Linked DNA regions of Sus scrofa. The protein of the gene in region 1 interacts with the protein of each later gene in a biochemical or structural test. Links are inferred from orthologs where the notes say so. Each region holds a gene or a part of one and is shown on either strand. Other genes may lie near its edges.

Region 1 (4,460 bases):
CGTCCTCATGGATGCGAGTCCGGTTGTTAACCACTGAGCCACGATGGAAACTCCTCTTATTGCATTTTTGAGAAATTGCTTGGGAGTCAGCTCCTAAGGCATCTCATGGCCAGCTAGGGAAAAACCCACCTGTCAGCAAGCCAAATGACAACACAGGATGAGGAGTCAGGTTCTCTTCCAGCTTTAGCATATAGCGTGCCAGTGAACCTTCGGTCTTCTCTTTGCTTTCTTAGCAATTTCTGAACAACTTAGAAAAAAAAAAAAACTTTTCAAAGATAGGAAATGCTTCCTTCAAACAGGACACTTTGGTTACAGACCAGAGAACTTTACTGCTTTTAATTAACTTGAAGGCTGTGAGGAGGGTGGGCAGCAGATTTAGGGATGTACCTTTGATTTAGTAAATTGGAGAGGGAACGAAGGCAAGAAAGAGTTAAAGTTATTCAGAAAAAAAGCGCAGAATGAAGCATCCTTTTTTTTCCCCCTTTCCTGGAGAAGTAGGGAGGGAGAGGTAACCTGAGCCTAGAGAACACAATTTACTAAAGAAGTGATGAGGTAACTGGGAGAACAGAAACAAAGTGTCCCTCAACTTTGCAGGTTAGGGACTGAAGAGATGAGGGCATTAGCAACAGGATGTGGCCGCGCCCTTACTGTTTCCGGTCCAGAGAACAGAGAGAACTGAGTTGGGGGCGCAGGGGCTGAGGAACAGCCCAGCACCAAGCCCTGAGCCCTGGGGGCTGGAAAGGGAGGAAAAAGGCTGGTAGGTCCCACACGCGCGCTTCCCTGTGTGCGCGGAGAAGAGGGTAAAAATTTGTGACAAATTCTCATTTCCTTCTCACATCAGCTTATTTTTTTTGGGGGGGGGGTGTTTTTAATAGAGATGCGGGGCAAGAAGACAAAGGGGCTCGTCCTGAATAATAACAGCAGCACTCCTTGCCCTCCGCCCCAATCCTAAAGTATTCTTGGCGCTCGGGGATTGTTTTTCACACGACTTGCGATTTGTGAGCCGGGAATAAACGGTCGCCTCTAAATTAACTGCACTGGCAATGGCTAGGCACGAAATTCCCTCATAAGCACATTTTCCTTTTACCTCGAAATGTCGCTCCAGCCCAGAAGCATCCTCATTCGCCCTCCCAAGGCCACTGGCCTCGGATAAATTTTAGGGTCTGCGAATGCTTCGTTCCTTTGGGCTCCCGGGAAGCCGCCCACGGCCCCTGCGCCCCCTCCTCCCAGGGCCGCAGCAGTGCACAACAACCATTTTCCCCGCCAGGAGCACACTGTGTCCACGCGCCGCTGCGACTTCGCTGATTGGTCGGGCTCCTGGTAAACATGGAGCGGGCAGCCAATGGGCGGGCTGTGCACGAGGGCTGCACGAGCCTCCGGGCCAGCGCTCGCGTGGCTCTGCCTGCCCGGCTACTATATAGAGCAGTTTATAGCTCTCAGCACAAGCTATCCTTTCCACTCCTCTGGCAGATCGCTGTTAGCTTTCCCGCCGAGATCCGGAGCTCTCCTCCAGCTGTTGGAGGAAAGACAGGAAAGAGCTTATTTTTCTTTTGAAATACCTTGGCACAACCAGCAAGGGAACATCTTGTCGAACATTTAATAGAGAGTTGAAAAGTGAAATAATTTTAATTCATTGCAAAGGGCCCTTTGATTCGGGGTTTTGTTTTTCACTCCTGCCCCCTGCCCCGTTTCTAACTCTCAAGTCAACCGAGCCCAAACATGGTGATGTTCAAGAAGATCAAGTCTTTTGAGGTGGTCTTTAACGACCCCGAAAAGGTGTACGGCTGTGGGGAGAAGGTGGCTGGCCGGGTGATAGTGGAGGTGTGTGAAGTCACTCGAATCAAAGCTGTCAGGATCCTGGCTTGTGGAGTGGCCAAAGTCCTGTGGATGCAGGGATCCCAGCAGTGCAAACAGACCTTGGACTACCTGCGCTATGAAGACACTCTTCTCCTGGACGACCACCCAACAGGTAAGTGACCCAGCTGTTGACTGGAGGGCGAAAGCTGATTTGAGAAGAGAGTTGATACGAATAAATAGAGCCTACACTAAATATTCTAAGTTGCTCAGGTGGTGTGGTTTGAATTTTGTGTCAATTCCTTATCTTTTTGTTTCTTTTTAATTTACAATCCCTGCCCACCCAAAAGGGTGATTTGTACAATTTCTTGTGGTGCTGTGTTCTGGAGATGTTGAAGGATGTTGCCTTACCTATTGAAACATTTCTGTGCATAAGTTGCTTATTCTTTGCTTGCTTCTTGTTTGAGATGATTGTAGCTTAACTGTCCTGGTTGAGCCTGTCAACACTACAGGGCTTTGCAACTTTTTGCCCAACAAAATACATCAGAATCTGTCATTTAGGAACAAAAGGGATGAGAATACGAGTTCTGCAATACTCTTGCGTGATGCCTAAGAATTCCTTATCGGCACAGATGCATTTTAAGTGTAACAGGAAACCTAATGGTTACTTGCTTATCTCTCTTTTCAGGGGAGAATGAGATGGTGATCATGAGACCTGGAAACAAATATGAATACAAGTTTGGCTTTGAGCTTCCTCAGGGGTAGGTATCAGCTAAATGCATCTGTGGACTTATCTGTCTCTAAAAATCTTCCCCTCCTTTGATCACTCACTGTTCTTGGAGAGCATTTTTTTAAGTTAGTTGTTTCCTTTTTCTTTATAAAGGCCTCTGGGAACATCTTTCAAAGGAAAATATGGGTGTGTAGACTACTGGGTGAAGGCTTTTCTTGATCGCCCAAGCCAGCCAACTCAAGAGACAAAAAAACACTTCGAAGTGATGGATCTAGTGGATGTCAATACCCCTGATTTAATGGTAAAGTCATTCTAAGATTCTGTTCTTTTTGGGCTCAGGGGTGCTAAGTCAAATGTCTAGGGCATTAAAAGTGAAGCCCCTCGGGGAATCAAGTCCTAAATCATCAAGGTGGGAGGGAAGGCTACCTACTATAAATAAGTACTGGAAAGGAACGGAAAGCAGGGAAAGGATCTCTAGAAATTCTCAAAACACCTCCATTCTACATAGGCACCTGTGTCTGCTAAAAAGGAGAAGAAAGTTTCCTGCATGTTCATTCCTGATGGCCGGGTGTCTGTCTCTGCTCGAATCGACAGAAAAGGGTTCTGTGAAGGTAAAAATCTGTGCTTAAAATGGGAGACTGCTAAAACAGAAACTATGGGTTTGGGATGAGGGCTGTAGAAAGGGACAAAAGAAAAGTCGTTGATTGTACTGAGCATCAGTTTTCATCTTTCCCATTGCTAGGTGATGAGATTAACATCCATGCTGATTTTGAGAATACATGTTCCCGCATTGTGGTGCCCAAAGCTGCCATTGTAGCCCGCCACACTTACCTTGCCAATGGCCAAACCAAAGTACTGACGCAGAAGTTGTCATCGGTCAGAGGCAATCACATTATCTCAGGAACCTGTGCATCATGGCGTGGCAAGAGCCTTCGGGTGCAGAAGATCAGGCCTTCTATCTTGGGCTGCAACATCCTTCGAGTTGAATACTTCTTACTGGTGAGTTTGTAGGGTTGGAGAGAGAAATTGTTCATCTGTCAAAACAATAGTGATGTTTTCTCCAGATCTCTAGCCTAACAAACTCCCGTGTTCCTTTCTAGATCTACGTTAGTGTCCCTGGCTCCAAGAAGGTCATTCTTGACCTGCCCCTGGTAATTGGCAGCAGGTCAGGCCTCAGCAGCCGGACGTCCAGCATGGCCAGCCGAACCAGCTCCGAGATGAGTTGGGTAGATCTAAACATCCCTGATACCCCCGAAGGTGAGCCAGACCTAATGTCTTTTCTTCCCTTCTGGTCTGCTTGGGTTTGTAAAATTGTGATGGTCAGGCATTTCTTGGCCAGGCTTCTTATCCCCATACTTTGTCTCTGTAGCTCCTCCATGCTATATGGATATCATTCCTGAAGATCACCGATTGGAGAGCCCCACCACTCCTCTGCTAGATGACACAGATGGCTCTCAAGACAGCCCTATCTTTATGTATGCTCCTGAGTTTAAGTTCATGCCACCACCTACTTACAGTGAGGTAAGAATTGTCATTTTGCCACTACATTTGTCCTAAGCCTTCAGTGGAAAGTTGACTTGGAGGGATTACTAAACTGGGTTGTTCTCTTAGTTCTTACCCAAACTAAAATATCCTTTTCTTTCTTCCTCCCAGGTGGATCCCTGCATCCTCAACAACAACGTGCAGTGAACATGTGGAAGGAAAGAAGCAGCTATACCTACTTCTTTCTTTTCACCTCTCTTCCTGGACTGACTTTTTAGGAGACTCAACAGTCTCTGCAGTGGGGTACAGATCCACCCCAGCCTCTGACTCTCCGGTGTAGGAGGTGATCATCAGGCAATCTCTTGGGCCTTAAAGGGTGCGCAGTCGTCCTCAGCCAGTGAGATGTTGTGACAAGGGTTTTTTTGCTGGATGGGTTTAAAAACACAGACAAATT
Region 2 (3,804 bases), on another chromosome or scaffold:
AAGCCAAAGATGGCCACGATGCTCAGGTAGGACATCCAGGGCAGCTGCTCCTGTTGAGGACGAGAGAGGAGAGGAAAGTCAGACTGGGCTGTGATGGATCCTCAGAAGATGCAGAGGGAGCCCAGGGCAGTGCTAAGAGCTCTGGGCTGGAAGGAAGGAGGCCTGGGGCTGATCTTGGGTTTGCTGTGTGACGTTAGGTGCCCTGTGCTGGGGTCACGGTTCCCTCATCTGAACGAAACAGTTTAAGTCCTGCAGGACGCCTGTGAGCTTGTGTCCACCTCCCGGGGACAGTCACGTCGTGTGCGTGCGGGAAGTGCCAAAAGGCCCTCGCAGTCCCCTCGCTCAGGCCGCGAAGCGGGCTGCGTACAGCGGGAGGAAGGGGAAGAGTGTTGCCGGGGGCGGGTGTTAGGAGGCTTGTAAGGCGCCCAGCTCAGGGCCAACACCGAGCAGGCACGCGGTGCCATACAGAACCACTCTGGAGGCGGCCACGGTAGACAAGTACCTGGGCTTTGTTCAGATCCCAGATCCACGCTCAGTGCCTACGGTGGGTGTGCTGGCCCCTCGTCCAGCACTGCCCTTTCTAAGCTCTAGTTCAGCTGTAAAGTGAGTGTACCAGGGCTTTCCTTGCCCAGATGGGTAAGTGTGTGCAGTGCCCGGGGCAGGGCTGTCACAGAGGTTGCAGACTCGGGCTTAGGACCAGCAGATCTGAGGTTGATTCTGGCCTCGTCCATTATCTTCTGCATCCCTCAGTCCCCTGGGGACAGGCTTCCTCGCCTGAGAAGTGGGAAGAGTGACCTAACTGCACCTGCGCATCCTGAGCATTTCGTGAGATGAGGGAGGTTTCCACCCGCTGTGGTCAAGAGGCTGTTACTTCAGAGCAGTTCTAAAGGGAACTGAGGCTGCAGAGGAGACTCTGGAAAAGTCAGTATTAGGCAAAGCAATTCTGGGGAGAGGGACCTCGAGGTCTTGTGGTGAGAAAACGTCAGGCAGAGGAGGGAGCCGGTTTGAGGCAGGATGTGAGTGCGAAAGAAGGAGACAGCCTAGGAGCCAGAGGGGGTGGGGGGCTTCGGGTGCAGAACTAGGGAGGGGGCGGTCACCACCTGGCCTCCGGGTGCTGCTGGCTGGGCTGGGCTGAGACGGGCACTTTGGGATCTGGTGCCCATGTGAGCTGCCACCCACCCCTGCCACCTCGCCGCCAGTGTGGCGACTCACCAGCAGTGCCAAGGCGATGGTCATGAGCACCGCGCAGCCCGCCATGCCAGCCAGGCCTATGAGGTGCAGGGTCCGCCGGCCGGCTCGTTCCACCACGAACAGCTGTGGGCAGAGAGTGTCAGTGCTACCGCCACCCGGAGTCCCTCTGGAAACATCCCTCCCTCCCTCCGCTCCTTCATCCCACATGTAGGGACAGCCACGGGGCCCTGCAGAGACGGAGGTGGAAGGAAGACAGTACCGCCTCGGCCTGGGGGGTTCACAGGTCCGGCGGGGGGCTGGAGAGCCCAGCACCTGGAGGGGAGTGAGGGCGGCCCCCGAGAGCCAGACAGCTGAGCATGCTGCCTGCGGCTTTGGGCCAGCCATCACGCCTCTCTGAGCGTCAGTGTCATCAGCTGTTTGATACGAGTAATGAACTTGACACGTTGTTGAAGATGAAATGGGAGAGCACTTATGGAGCGTGTGACGCATGCCTGGCTCACGGTACTTGCTGCTATTCAGTCATGAGGCCCCGAGGCCCCGAGAGGGACCCTGGATGCCGATGGGTATCAGCAGTGATGAAGAGGCTCCCAAAGACTCACCGACACGACAGTGAAGGCCGTGTTGACGATGCCGGAGCCGATGGTGGCATACACAGGCTGCTGCACGCCCGCCTTCTCGAAGATGCTTGTGGAGTAATAGAAAACCTGCGGGCAGGGGAGTCACGGGGTGAGCCGGGCGCTGCGGTCCGCCCGCGGCCTCTGTCCCCACGGGTGGGGACACTCACAGTGAGGAAGGAAGGAACGGGACACCGCACCGGTGCCCTTACGGGTTTTGGATCTGGGGGAGAGCTTCTCCCCCGGCAGGGGCTCGTCTGTCGTAAGCGTGGGCTCTGTCCACAGCGCGCACTTGAACCCAGGGTTCGGCTGGGGCCCCGGGAGAGGCTGGCCGGGGGCACTCACCGCGTTGATGCCCGACAGCTGCTGGGACAGCTGCAGCACCACGGCGATGAGGATGGGCTGGCGGTAGGCGGCCGAGCGGAACAGCTCCAGGATGGTGACCTTCTTCTCCCGCATCATCTGCCGGCTCTCCTCCTTCATCTCCTGCAGGTCTCGGGTCACGTCTGCCGTTCCGCGCAGCTTCTTCAGCACTGGGGGGCCGGAGGGAAGGGGGGTGGCTCAGCGCGGGGAGGCGGCCAGGGCCGGGGGCGGGGAGGGGCAGGGCCCGGCCGTACCGCTCTTGGCCCGGTTCTCCTCATTGCGGTTGATGAGCAGGAAGCGGGGGCTCTCGGGGCAGAAGGGCAGCAGGACGCACTGCAGCAGGGCCGGGATGAAGATGACGCTCAGGAGCAGGGGCCACAGCTCCTCGTTGCCCATGATGGAGTCCAGGCCAAATACCTGCGGGAGGCAGGGACGGAGAGCGGCTGTCAGTGCCCTGCCCTGGCTCCACGCCTCGACCCGTTCCACCCAGGCGGCCCTCGCCTGCGTGTGCCAGCCACTGCGTCAGAAAGAGGGCTCCAGTCTGAGTCTCGTTCTGCGCTAGCGTGAAGCTTCACTTCTCTGAACCTCAGGGAGAAGCAGGACCTACCGCCCGGCCTGGGGATGAGATGGCGGGGCTTCGAAGGTGTCTGGCAGGGGCCCCCGCGGGCTGCTGCCCTGCCCCAGGACCCCTCAAGGTGGGACGGGGAGGCCTTGAGAGAGGGGGTGCATGCGTGTACCACGTGCACACCCATCATGGCCTGGAGGCGGCAGGGAGCCAGCAGGCTGAGAAACTGGTGGGCTTCCCTGTGGCTGGGTCCGCAGGGTGAAGAGAAGGGACACAAGGCCGAGCGGGCTGGGACGAAAAGTCAAGGCATCTGGACGCTCTCCCACCGGGGGCCCCGGGAGAAGGGTGCGGAGTGCTGTGCCTGGGACGTGTCCCGAGGCTCCCCTGCGAGGCTGCGGGAGGCCGGCTGAGGGGTGCGATCTGGATGCACACCCGGGAGGTGCTGGAGCTGTGGCTGGGGGCTTACCTGGGCGATGAGGATGCCGACGACGATGCCCAGCTGGTGCAGGGTGCCCAGGGCCCCTCGAAGGGCCGTCGGGGACACCTCCCCCACATACATGGGCACGAAGCCCGTGGTCAGGCCGCAGTACACACCGATGATGAAGCGACCCAGGATCAGCATCTCAAAGGATTTGCCCAGTTTGGAGAAGCCCATGAGCACAGCAGATATGAAGGCCAGCAGGTTCATCATCAGCATGGAATTCCGCCTGGGGCGAGGAGGTCAGAGGTCAGGCGGGCCCCTGGATCCCCCTGGAGGCCTCAGGGGCTGGGTCAGAGGTAACACTCTGGAACAGGCAGGGAAGGCCCCCCACCGCCCGCGCTCGTCTGGGCCTCCCTGGGCAGGGCCAGGACCCCCTCTGCTCACCGGCCAAAGCGGTTCACAAACAGGCCCACAGAGAAGGAGCCGATCATGCCCCCCACGGAGAATATGGCCACGGAGAGGGACCAGAGTGTGGTCAGCGTGGCGGGCGAGATGCTCTCCCCATAGCGGTGGAGCCACGTCTGGTTGTAGAATTCCTCGATCACCTGCGGGGCAGAGGCAGCGTGGTGGGCGAGGCCGGGACCCGGTCT

What was found.
Region 2: the proteins of TXNIP (region 1) and SLC2A1 form a complex in vitro, tested with the Homo sapiens proteins (2 studies listed by BioGRID). The link is inferred for Sus scrofa from reciprocal best matches to the Homo sapiens genes TXNIP and SLC2A1.

The regions. Positions count from the first base shown.
Region 1 is NC_010446.5:99,347,132-99,351,591, forward strand, and holds the start of TXNIP (thioredoxin-interacting protein), read left to right. Parts: upstream 1-1,457; 5' UTR 1,458-1,719; coding exon 1,720-1,969; intron 1,970-2,482; coding exon 2,483-2,555; intron 2,556-2,677; coding exon 2,678-2,825; intron 2,826-3,032; coding exon 3,033-3,135; intron 3,136-3,266; coding exon 3,267-3,523; intron 3,524-3,624; coding exon 3,625-3,781; intron 3,782-3,893; coding exon 3,894-4,045; intron 4,046-4,177; coding exon 4,178-4,213; 3' UTR 4,214-4,460. UniProt on the Homo sapiens protein: May act as an oxidative stress mediator by inhibiting thioredoxin activity or by limiting its bioavailability.
Region 2 is NC_010448.4:168,555,750-168,559,553, reverse strand, and holds part of SLC2A1 (solute carrier family 2, facilitated glucose transporter member 1), read right to left. Parts: intron 3,760-3,804; coding exon 3,599-3,759; intron 3,441-3,598; coding exon 3,200-3,440; intron 2,586-3,199; coding exon 2,423-2,585; intron 2,339-2,422; coding exon 2,151-2,338; intron 1,896-2,150; coding exon 1,791-1,895; intron 1,315-1,790; coding exon 1,213-1,314; intron 51-1,212; coding exon 1-50. UniProt on the Homo sapiens protein: Facilitative glucose transporter, which is responsible for constitutive or basal glucose uptake. Has a very broad substrate specificity; can transport a wide range of aldoses including both pentoses and hexoses.